Linked DNA regions of Oreochromis niloticus. The protein of the gene in region 1 interacts with the protein of each later gene in a pairwise test. Links are inferred from orthologs where the notes say so. Each region holds a gene or a part of one and is shown in the gene's direction. Other genes may lie near its edges.

Region 1 (4,084 bases):
ATGCAAATGCATTATATTGCCTGAAAAAAATTGGGCTAACTGCGCAGTGTTGCCTTGAGGCAACGAATGAAAATAACAGTTTTACTGTATAAATAAATTTTAAAAAGTAGAACAATCAAATATGCTTCTTAACATATTCGTGCACATACAAGTATTTTTTATTATACATTTATTTCACTATAAACATGTAAAATAGTGATCTTTATCTTGCCTCCTAATGGAGATGTCTCCCATGTAGTGCAGCTTGCAGAAAGGGTGGTTCCCCCCCCCAAATGAAAGTCACACCACCTTCAACTCATCATTTTATTGGAAAGAGATGTGTCTGGTAGCATTATTTGAAAAAAAAAAAAAAAAGTGTTTTTTTTTTTTGAAGGCCGAGTGTAAGGCATGAAAATGTGGTTTGTTGCCTCAGGGCAACGCTATGCTGTAGAGCACAAGTGTCGAACTCCAGGCCTCGAGGGCCGGTGTCCTGCAGGTTTTAGATGTGTCCTTGATCCAACGCAGCTGATTTAAATGGCTAAATTACCTCTTCAACATGTCTTAAAGTTCTCCAGAGGCCTGGTAATGAACTAATCATTTGATTCAGGTGTGTTGAAACAGGGTGAAATCTAAAACCTGCAGGACACCGGCCCTCGAGGCCTGGAGTTCGACACCCCTGCTGTAGAGGGTTAATATCATATATACCGAGGTAGCTTAGATTTTCGCGATGTAGTGCAAATAAACCTTTAATAAAAATGTAATTATTGAATACAGAATCTGACAAACTGTTATTTGCCTACACCTGCAGGATGGGTAAGCGTTTCGGTAAACGGAAAGTGACCCTGCAGAGCGTTTCATGAAAAGGAGTTAGCTTCAGTAGAAGTAGCACAGAGCTAACTATGCTAAGCTACCCTCACAGCTGGGTCTAACGCCTTCTTTGTGGTGTTTGTGATCCCTAATGAGCCCTCCATGACTGAGATTACTGGTCAGCAGGTGACACCTGTGTGATTGTAGTTCCCTGGCTCACCTTGAAGTCGTTTTTCTACCTTCTGTCTTGCCTCAGATGTGTAAGGACGGTCCAAGCCGAGAGCACGTGGCGTGGCTGACCTCATTTCCTGCTGCTGCCGCCTGTCTCATGCTCCAGGTAAAATCTGTAAAAACATGGCGGCCTGAAGTACGAGATGCTTTAAGCAACAGGTACCATTAACTCCTTGCTCATATAAACAATAGAGGGGACATATCTCGACGAGTATTTAAAACGCATACATGTGACCATCCTAATAAATCCAGGAGGAGACTATTTATGTTGTAATGTTTTATTTTGTTTGTTTTGCTCTTCTACTACTTCTTTTTTACATGAATAATACAAGAAAAACTTTATTTATCCTAAAATGTGGAAGGTCAGCCTATGATTTAAAAAGGCCTTATTTTAAATAAAGTAGACAATCTCAATAAAATGACTCAGTGAGTTAGAAAAAAAAAGAAGGATACAAAGAACAGGACACAACAAATAAAATAAAAGAGTTCCGTAAATAAAAATCTAAACATAATTACAATAAGGAGTAAGATGGGCAAAAATCATAATAAGTGTGTTTAATAAGTGTGTTTTTTGGAATGTTTTTTAGTTGTTTTTTGAATGCTCTTCTTCCTTGGCTGTAATGAGTGGATATCTGTGTTACAATTGACAGCAATCTGATCCATCTCCTCTCACCTCCTACATGTACAAGTCATTTTCTCCCAGAGAACTGCCGCTCACTGAATATTTTCTTTTAATTCATTCTCTGTAAACCCTAGATATGTCTGTTTGAGCAAATTCCAGTAGATCAGCAGTTTCTGATATACTCAGACCAGCCTGTCAGGCACCAACCGTCAACCGTGTCACACTCAAAATCACTGAAATCAACTTTCTTTCTTTCTTGCATACTGTACCTAAATGAGTTGAGTTGCTGCAATGTGACTGGCTGATTAGATATTCGTCTCAATGAGCAGATAAACAGAAGTAACTAATGATGTTGTCTCCAAGTTTATTTTTGCATTATCCATAGCCACAGTTATTTGGATGACTTCTGCATGCTAAGCATTTCAAGCATTGTCATCATAAATGAATAAAGGTATAAAATTCACTAGAAACTATGGAAATAGCTGAGGGTCAATATGTGCTGGTGGAGGACCTCCGAGTTCCATACTTACTGTGTCTACTCCAGTGCTCAAGCAGTGTAGACCAGTATATATACTGTACATATATAATATATATTGTTACCTATGTGGGAACATCACTAAACAATGTAACTAAAGAATAAAGTCATCTTAAAAAGTGAGATCAATAAAAAGTAAGAAGAAAATACCTTTTAGACTGAAAGCTTAACAGTTTAAAGGATATCTTCATTTTTCTAGAGTAACACTTACAAAAACAAGCAAAACTATAAATTTAATAAATATGACGTGTTTAATCATGATGGGTTTTTTTAACCTTTGTTGTATTATTGTCAGTGTTGTGGTATAAATTAACGGATTAGGATGAAGCAAGATTATTTGGCAACGATCTAGCAAATTACCAAATTTTACATAGTTGCAGCTGTTTTTGTTGTTTGGTTATTTTTATCGGCTTTGATATTTTAAAATATGATTGATTCGTGATTGTATTGTTAGTAGATTGTAATTTACACTTTTTTTCCCCACTATATTCTCACAGTTTAGTTCTCAGCTGCGTTTCTAAGCTACCCTCTACACTTTACATACAAACTAAGAACTGCTCTATATGGTACAACTGCATCTCCCAAAATAATCAGCAATTTATAAATACAAATTTGTAAAAGAAAATGTAGTTGTTTTGAAATATTAGAAGTCTCAGATTGGATCACGTGCACAGTTTAAGTTTGCAATACTGCCTTAAAATCTGGTATACCTTTGCACAATACATTTGGTGGCCAGTAAATATAGATTATATACATGTGATACATGGTTGTTGTAGAGGTTGTGTTTTTCAGAAAGAAGCGACTATTCAGTTTTCACAGTAAATTTGCTAATGTATGCTTTTAATTTGACGGTCTTTAAGTGTTTCCTGAGTCTGGGTTATTGCCTGTGGTTCTGTAATTGACGCAGAAATAAATAAAGGAATGTAAAAGCAACTAATATACCTATTCTGCCACAACCATTTCAGCATGAAATAAAATGTAAACACAGATGTTACTAATGATGGTCATGTGGTAGTTCTGTTGTATTTAGGTACAGGGCATTAATTAATGGAAAAACCTGTATTTACCTACAAATGGGTCATAAAAAAAACTTAAATACACTTCAACTGATACAGCAACAAAAATAATATTCTGCAGCTCTAGAAGTTTATGCAGATTTGTTTTTTATTTGAGAATAGAAGCTTTAAATAAACTCGCTAGTGCCACACAGTTACATTCATTTCAAGATTCAGCTTTCAGACAAATGAAGATCAGATGAATTGAAGCAACCTGAATGAGTGTGACTTAAACCCACATGTTTTATGTGTATTTAACCCTGTATAAAGGGCCAGCTGACTGTGGGAGGTAAGGTAGATGGATGGACAGATGGATGAGGGTTTTTCTGTTAATCATTAATAAAGTGGATTAGCCCCAGTCTTCTGTAAATATGATGAATGCATCCACGGCTTCATTAGCTCTGCCTTCTCACAGCGCTGCTTTATTACACTGAGATCGCACAGAGAAAGCCTGGGAGTTTTTCACCACTTTTTTACCTGATAGAGAAACTCTGGACATGGTGTCTCTGATCGATCTCATCTCTTTCTGGACTTGTGTGATGGAGGGAATAGCACACAGCGCTTAAGGATTTATTTGGTGTCTGAGGATTTTTTCACACAGCAGACTAACTTCACTTTTTTCTTTTACTTCTTTTCTTTTTCTTACACAATGCCGATGAAACGCAGCAGTGAAAGTTCAACCAGAGACGGCGTGTTTCTTATTCACTCTTTAACCAGAACATTGTGCAACTCGCCAAAGGAAACATGCTCAGACTTTAACGGGCAGACACACTTTCATCAGGAGGACGACTGTGGGATTAAATCAGGTAACAAAGCAGCCACCTTCAGTTAATGCTGGAGTTTCAAACTGTATAT
Region 2 (4,084 bases), on another chromosome or scaffold:
TTTGCATTCAGGTAAAATAAGGCTTCTAACGTCATGTTTCTCTCTGGCATATAAATAAATAAATAAATAAATATTTTCAATCTCTGGGAATTGGCTTCTTAAGATGGACTGAGTCTGTCCTTCCACTGTCAGTACTTTTTTCTGTTTTCAGATGGGAATTCTGAAGGAACGGAAACAGAAGGGTTGCAGCTGACTTCAGGGGAGGATTGTTTAGCACCAAAGTGCTACTATGACAAAGCAAAGTCTTTCTTTGACAACATCTCATCTGATAATGGGCTCAGGTAATCAGCTGACTCCATCTTATATAAAAGATGGTCTTTGTGCAGATATGTGCTCATGGCTATTTATTTACATCAATGGTTTCAGACTGACATGGGCAGAGGAGCGAAAGCGCAATCTGGAGACTTTTGGTGTCCCTGGGCGTTTCCTGAGGGGCCAAGGATTCAGAGGTGGATATGCCAGAAGAGGACGAGGTGCTGCCAGAGTCTAACTCAAAGAAACACAACTGGGCGGCTGTACAGATCAGTTTCATACAAAGGCAGAGTAAAGCCACCTTGAATGATTTAGTACCCTGTTTCTTACAGTGAGTGGAAAGTACTGGATCCCCTGTAAGAATCTTGCCCCCTTTTTTCTTGACAGACCTTTTGAGTTTTAGCACAGTGAAGAAATCACAAGGGCAATAATGAAGGCTGTATTGCATTTGGAAGAGGCGCTATGCTGTGCATGTTGGTTTGCAGTCTGTTTACTGGTATACGTGATGGAACTAAACCATCATTATTACAGCTGTGCTGTAACCAGCCAAAATGTCTGTCATTAAAAAGTTTAACATTATTTCTTTGACATTTGACCTTGTTTTTAATGTGGGTAAAAGTTACTACAAGAGGCTTTTTTTGTTTAAAAGGGGGGAAAAACATGAATGCTTCAGTTTCTACTTTGGTTTGCTACTTGCAGATTTGTAAATTCTTGCATTTGCCTTTTTGGAGTATTAATCAGATTTGTCCATTCAATGTTGCATAGTATTAATATAATGAACTAAACAAGGTTTCAGACTTAAGACTTAATTTGGTATATTCAAGGGAATGAGTTGAATGTAAATAAAATGGATGTGCTGATACACCTGTTATGAGACTAAAAGACATTTTGTTGCACAAGTAAGCATTTAAAAAATTCTTCCGAATTATAAATAATCTGGGATAGTATCTGTGTTCTATGGCTGTTTCTTTGTCCTTTTAAGGAGCACTCCTTTAAACAACGTTAGCAATATATTCAAGATTAGATTATATAAACTGGCAAAAAAAAAAAAAAATTAGTAAATGTCTCACTGAATTACAAGATTACACATTCCCTGATTCAGTGCTGTTGTAAAAATGTGAATGGTGGGATTTCCACATTTCCTGAAATGCTAAAAGCAACTTTGGCTACAGCTGATCCAAGCAGACTGCTTTCTTGAATCAAACGATACCCCGTCTACAGTGAGGGAAAGTGGTAGGCTACTCACTGCCTGGACTATACCAAAATCTGAGGGAGAGGGATTTTTCCCTTACCATCGTATCCTTTTATATGCATGTAATTATTTGCACGCAGATCATAAATATTCGCTTAAGGGAAATCCTCTGTTTAATGCCATCCAGATAAGTCAAGTGTTTTCTAATTTTGCATCTTTCACGACATGGCTCTGGTTTGGTCAGTACCCCTATTCCTGGTAATGGAGAAACTATGTAACCAAATAGAAGGCTGCGCTCGAGATAATAAATATTAGAATAAAAGCGGCTCTTTTATTTCCCATATGACAAAATGTCGGTGGCGTTTTCATCGGCGCGCCCCAGAAGTAAAGGGGAGGTGACACAGCAAACCATTCAAAAGGTAAAAAATCCTAAAACGTCGCGACATTTCTATTTAGATCTTCTAGCATGGGAGTATGTGATCCCCCTCCAGTGCAGAGAAAGTAGCCAGTGGTGAATATCAAAGAAATGGCAACTGGTATTGCAACGTTACAGTCAATTGAAGGTGCGAACCAAACAAAGCCATCGCGGTGATGTAGACGAGCGCTCGGCTTAACGCCGGCTGGATCTCTGCTTTCTTGGTGATGCTGTCTGTCATCCTCGCAGATATTATGAGACGAATGGGAATATTTTAGTGTGAGAAATTGGAAATCCGCTTTATATTTCGTCGCAAGATGGTTAACAAGAATTCTCAAAGCAACAGCTCTGCCCTGGTGTTTAATTAATTAGGCTATAGGTTAAAAGTGAAGGCAGGTGTTACAGTATATGTCCTAGGGCACCGCTTTTATCCTTGATTGAACCGTTTAGCGCGAAAGTAAAACGTAAACCCTATCCTTGAAAGCCAGACTTTCAAACGGCGTCCTAAATAAAGACAGTGAAAAATGAGTTCTTCTTTTGGCTCTGTTATATAAAAAGAAGATGAGAAAGGTGACCCAGAAAAAAAACATTCAAGGGCTGGATAAAGTTCTGAGAATCAAGCACATCACTGTTTTAATAAAGTATTTGTTAGTTAATAATTTACTATACACTTATAGGACTTCAGATACAGTGGAATGAAGTTGTTTTATTATTTTCCAAAGATGCTGGATGAAAATCATCATTTAATACAATGCATAATGGATTACCAAAGCAAAGGCAAGACAGCTGAATGCACACAGTAAGTGTTTTTTTCTTTCCTCCCTGACCGGTACCTGCTAAATATCAAAGTATAGCACAATTAAGACTGGTTTTCTTCTTCTTCTTCCTCCAGGTATCAGCAGATCCTGCACAGAAATCTTGTTTACTTGGCCACAATAGCTGATTCAAATCAGAACATGCAGTCATTACTACCTGCGGTAAGTCTGATTTGTGACTTCAGTAATAGCAACTATCAAATATAAGTATACACTGTGTCCACTGGGAAAATAGAACATTAAAGGAAAACAGAAAATAGATGCATATAAATACAGTGTGAAAAAAATGAACTGCATATCAGTATTTATTTATGACTGCCACTACTTAAATATTACGTCTGTACACCTTTAGCCTCCCACTTCCAGTATGTCTTTGGGTCCTGGAGGGATGGGCCAGAGTGGGGGACATGCTCAAAGCAACCTCAATGACAACATGGGACCAGCACTGCCCGCGACATCAATGATGCAGAGCCAAATGAGTAATGGTGAGAGTTAATTGCATACCTGTGTTTTACAGATAAGCCCTGAATCACTTATTTCAGCCCAAAGATGCCTCCCGATTTTGTTGTCTGTCCAGTGTCTTGCTTGCTCGTCTCATTCTGACTTAGCTGCATGTTTGTCTGCAGACACAGTACCATGTCTTGTCTGCCACAGTGCCCGCACTTCTTTATTGCTTCATTGCCTTCATGTATCTGTGGTTTTAAGTTCAGCCAATGAGTCAGATTGTTTCACAGTTATGTTACTATATTCCCTCTTTTTGTGAAAAAACTATACACACATCCTTAACATGCGTTACTCTAGCTTTGTTCAACCATGCACGTCTCCTGTGAAGATGAACTGAATGTGGGGCCGTGGTTAACATGATATGGCACCACAGGGGAATGTGTGGTGGCTGCTCTGACTGTGCGTGTGTGTTGTCAGGCCCCAGCCATGCCCCCATGCAGCAGCAGTCTGGTCAGGTGCAGTCGGCTATTCCCTCCACCTCCCTCAGCCTGCCAGCAAGCAGCTATGGCAGCTCGGTCCCTGGGTACAGCCACGCTGCACCCTCCTCCCAGGGCAGTATGATCCAGGGCCCTGGGCCTGGTTATGGCTCTTCCTCCTCTTCTTCCTCCACATCCTCATCCTCTTCTTCCTCCTCCCGCAGCAACCTCAACATGCATTCCAACCAAGGTGAGCCAGGTATCGTAAAACCCAGTCATCAAGAATTGGTCTCTAAACCATCATGATCTGATAGTCAGGAGTTACCACCTCTCGAGATGCAAGATGGCATACTTGTTTTTTACTTGTTTATGTGTATTATGCAAGATTTGGCATTTAGAGGATTGGAATGATGATAATAATCTTTTCAAGTTTTCAGGGTGAAATACTGTACATGGTACATCAGTAAAACAGTTGGATGATGACCTCTGA

What was found. The genes of interacting proteins can lie anywhere in the genome.
Region 2: the proteins of rfx6 (region 1) and calcium-responsive transactivator interact in binary tests that used the Homo sapiens proteins (3 or more experiments, as listed by UniProt). The two-hybrid records come from large-scale screens. The link is inferred for Oreochromis niloticus from reciprocal best matches to the Homo sapiens genes RFX6 and SS18L1.

Annotation. Positions count from the first base shown.
Region 1 is NC_031980.2:19,731,322-19,735,405, forward strand, and holds the start of rfx6 (DNA-binding protein RFX6), read left to right. Parts: upstream 1-1,042; coding exon 1,043-1,176; intron 1,177-3,895; coding exon 3,896-4,035; intron 4,036-4,084. Other genes in the region: tdrd15 (tudor domain-containing protein 15), read right to left, coding at 1,007-1,091. UniProt on the Homo sapiens protein: Transcription factor required to direct islet cell differentiation during endocrine pancreas development. Specifically required for the differentiation of 4 of the 5 islet cell types and for the production of insulin.
Region 2 is NC_031984.2:13,592,337-13,596,420, forward strand, and holds the start of calcium-responsive transactivator, read left to right. Parts: upstream 1-1,299; 5' UTR 1,300-1,794; coding exon 1,795-1,863; intron 1,864-1,898; exon of another isoform or gene 1,899-2,007; intron 2,008-2,581; coding exon 2,582-2,658; intron 2,659-2,751; coding exon 2,752-2,836; intron 2,837-3,026; coding exon 3,027-3,159; intron 3,160-3,595; coding exon 3,596-3,844; intron 3,845-4,084. Other genes in the region: lsm14b (protein LSM14 homolog B), read left to right, coding at 152-281, 367-490. UniProt on the Homo sapiens protein: Transcriptional activator which is required for calcium-dependent dendritic growth and branching in cortical neurons. Recruits CREB-binding protein (CREBBP) to nuclear bodies.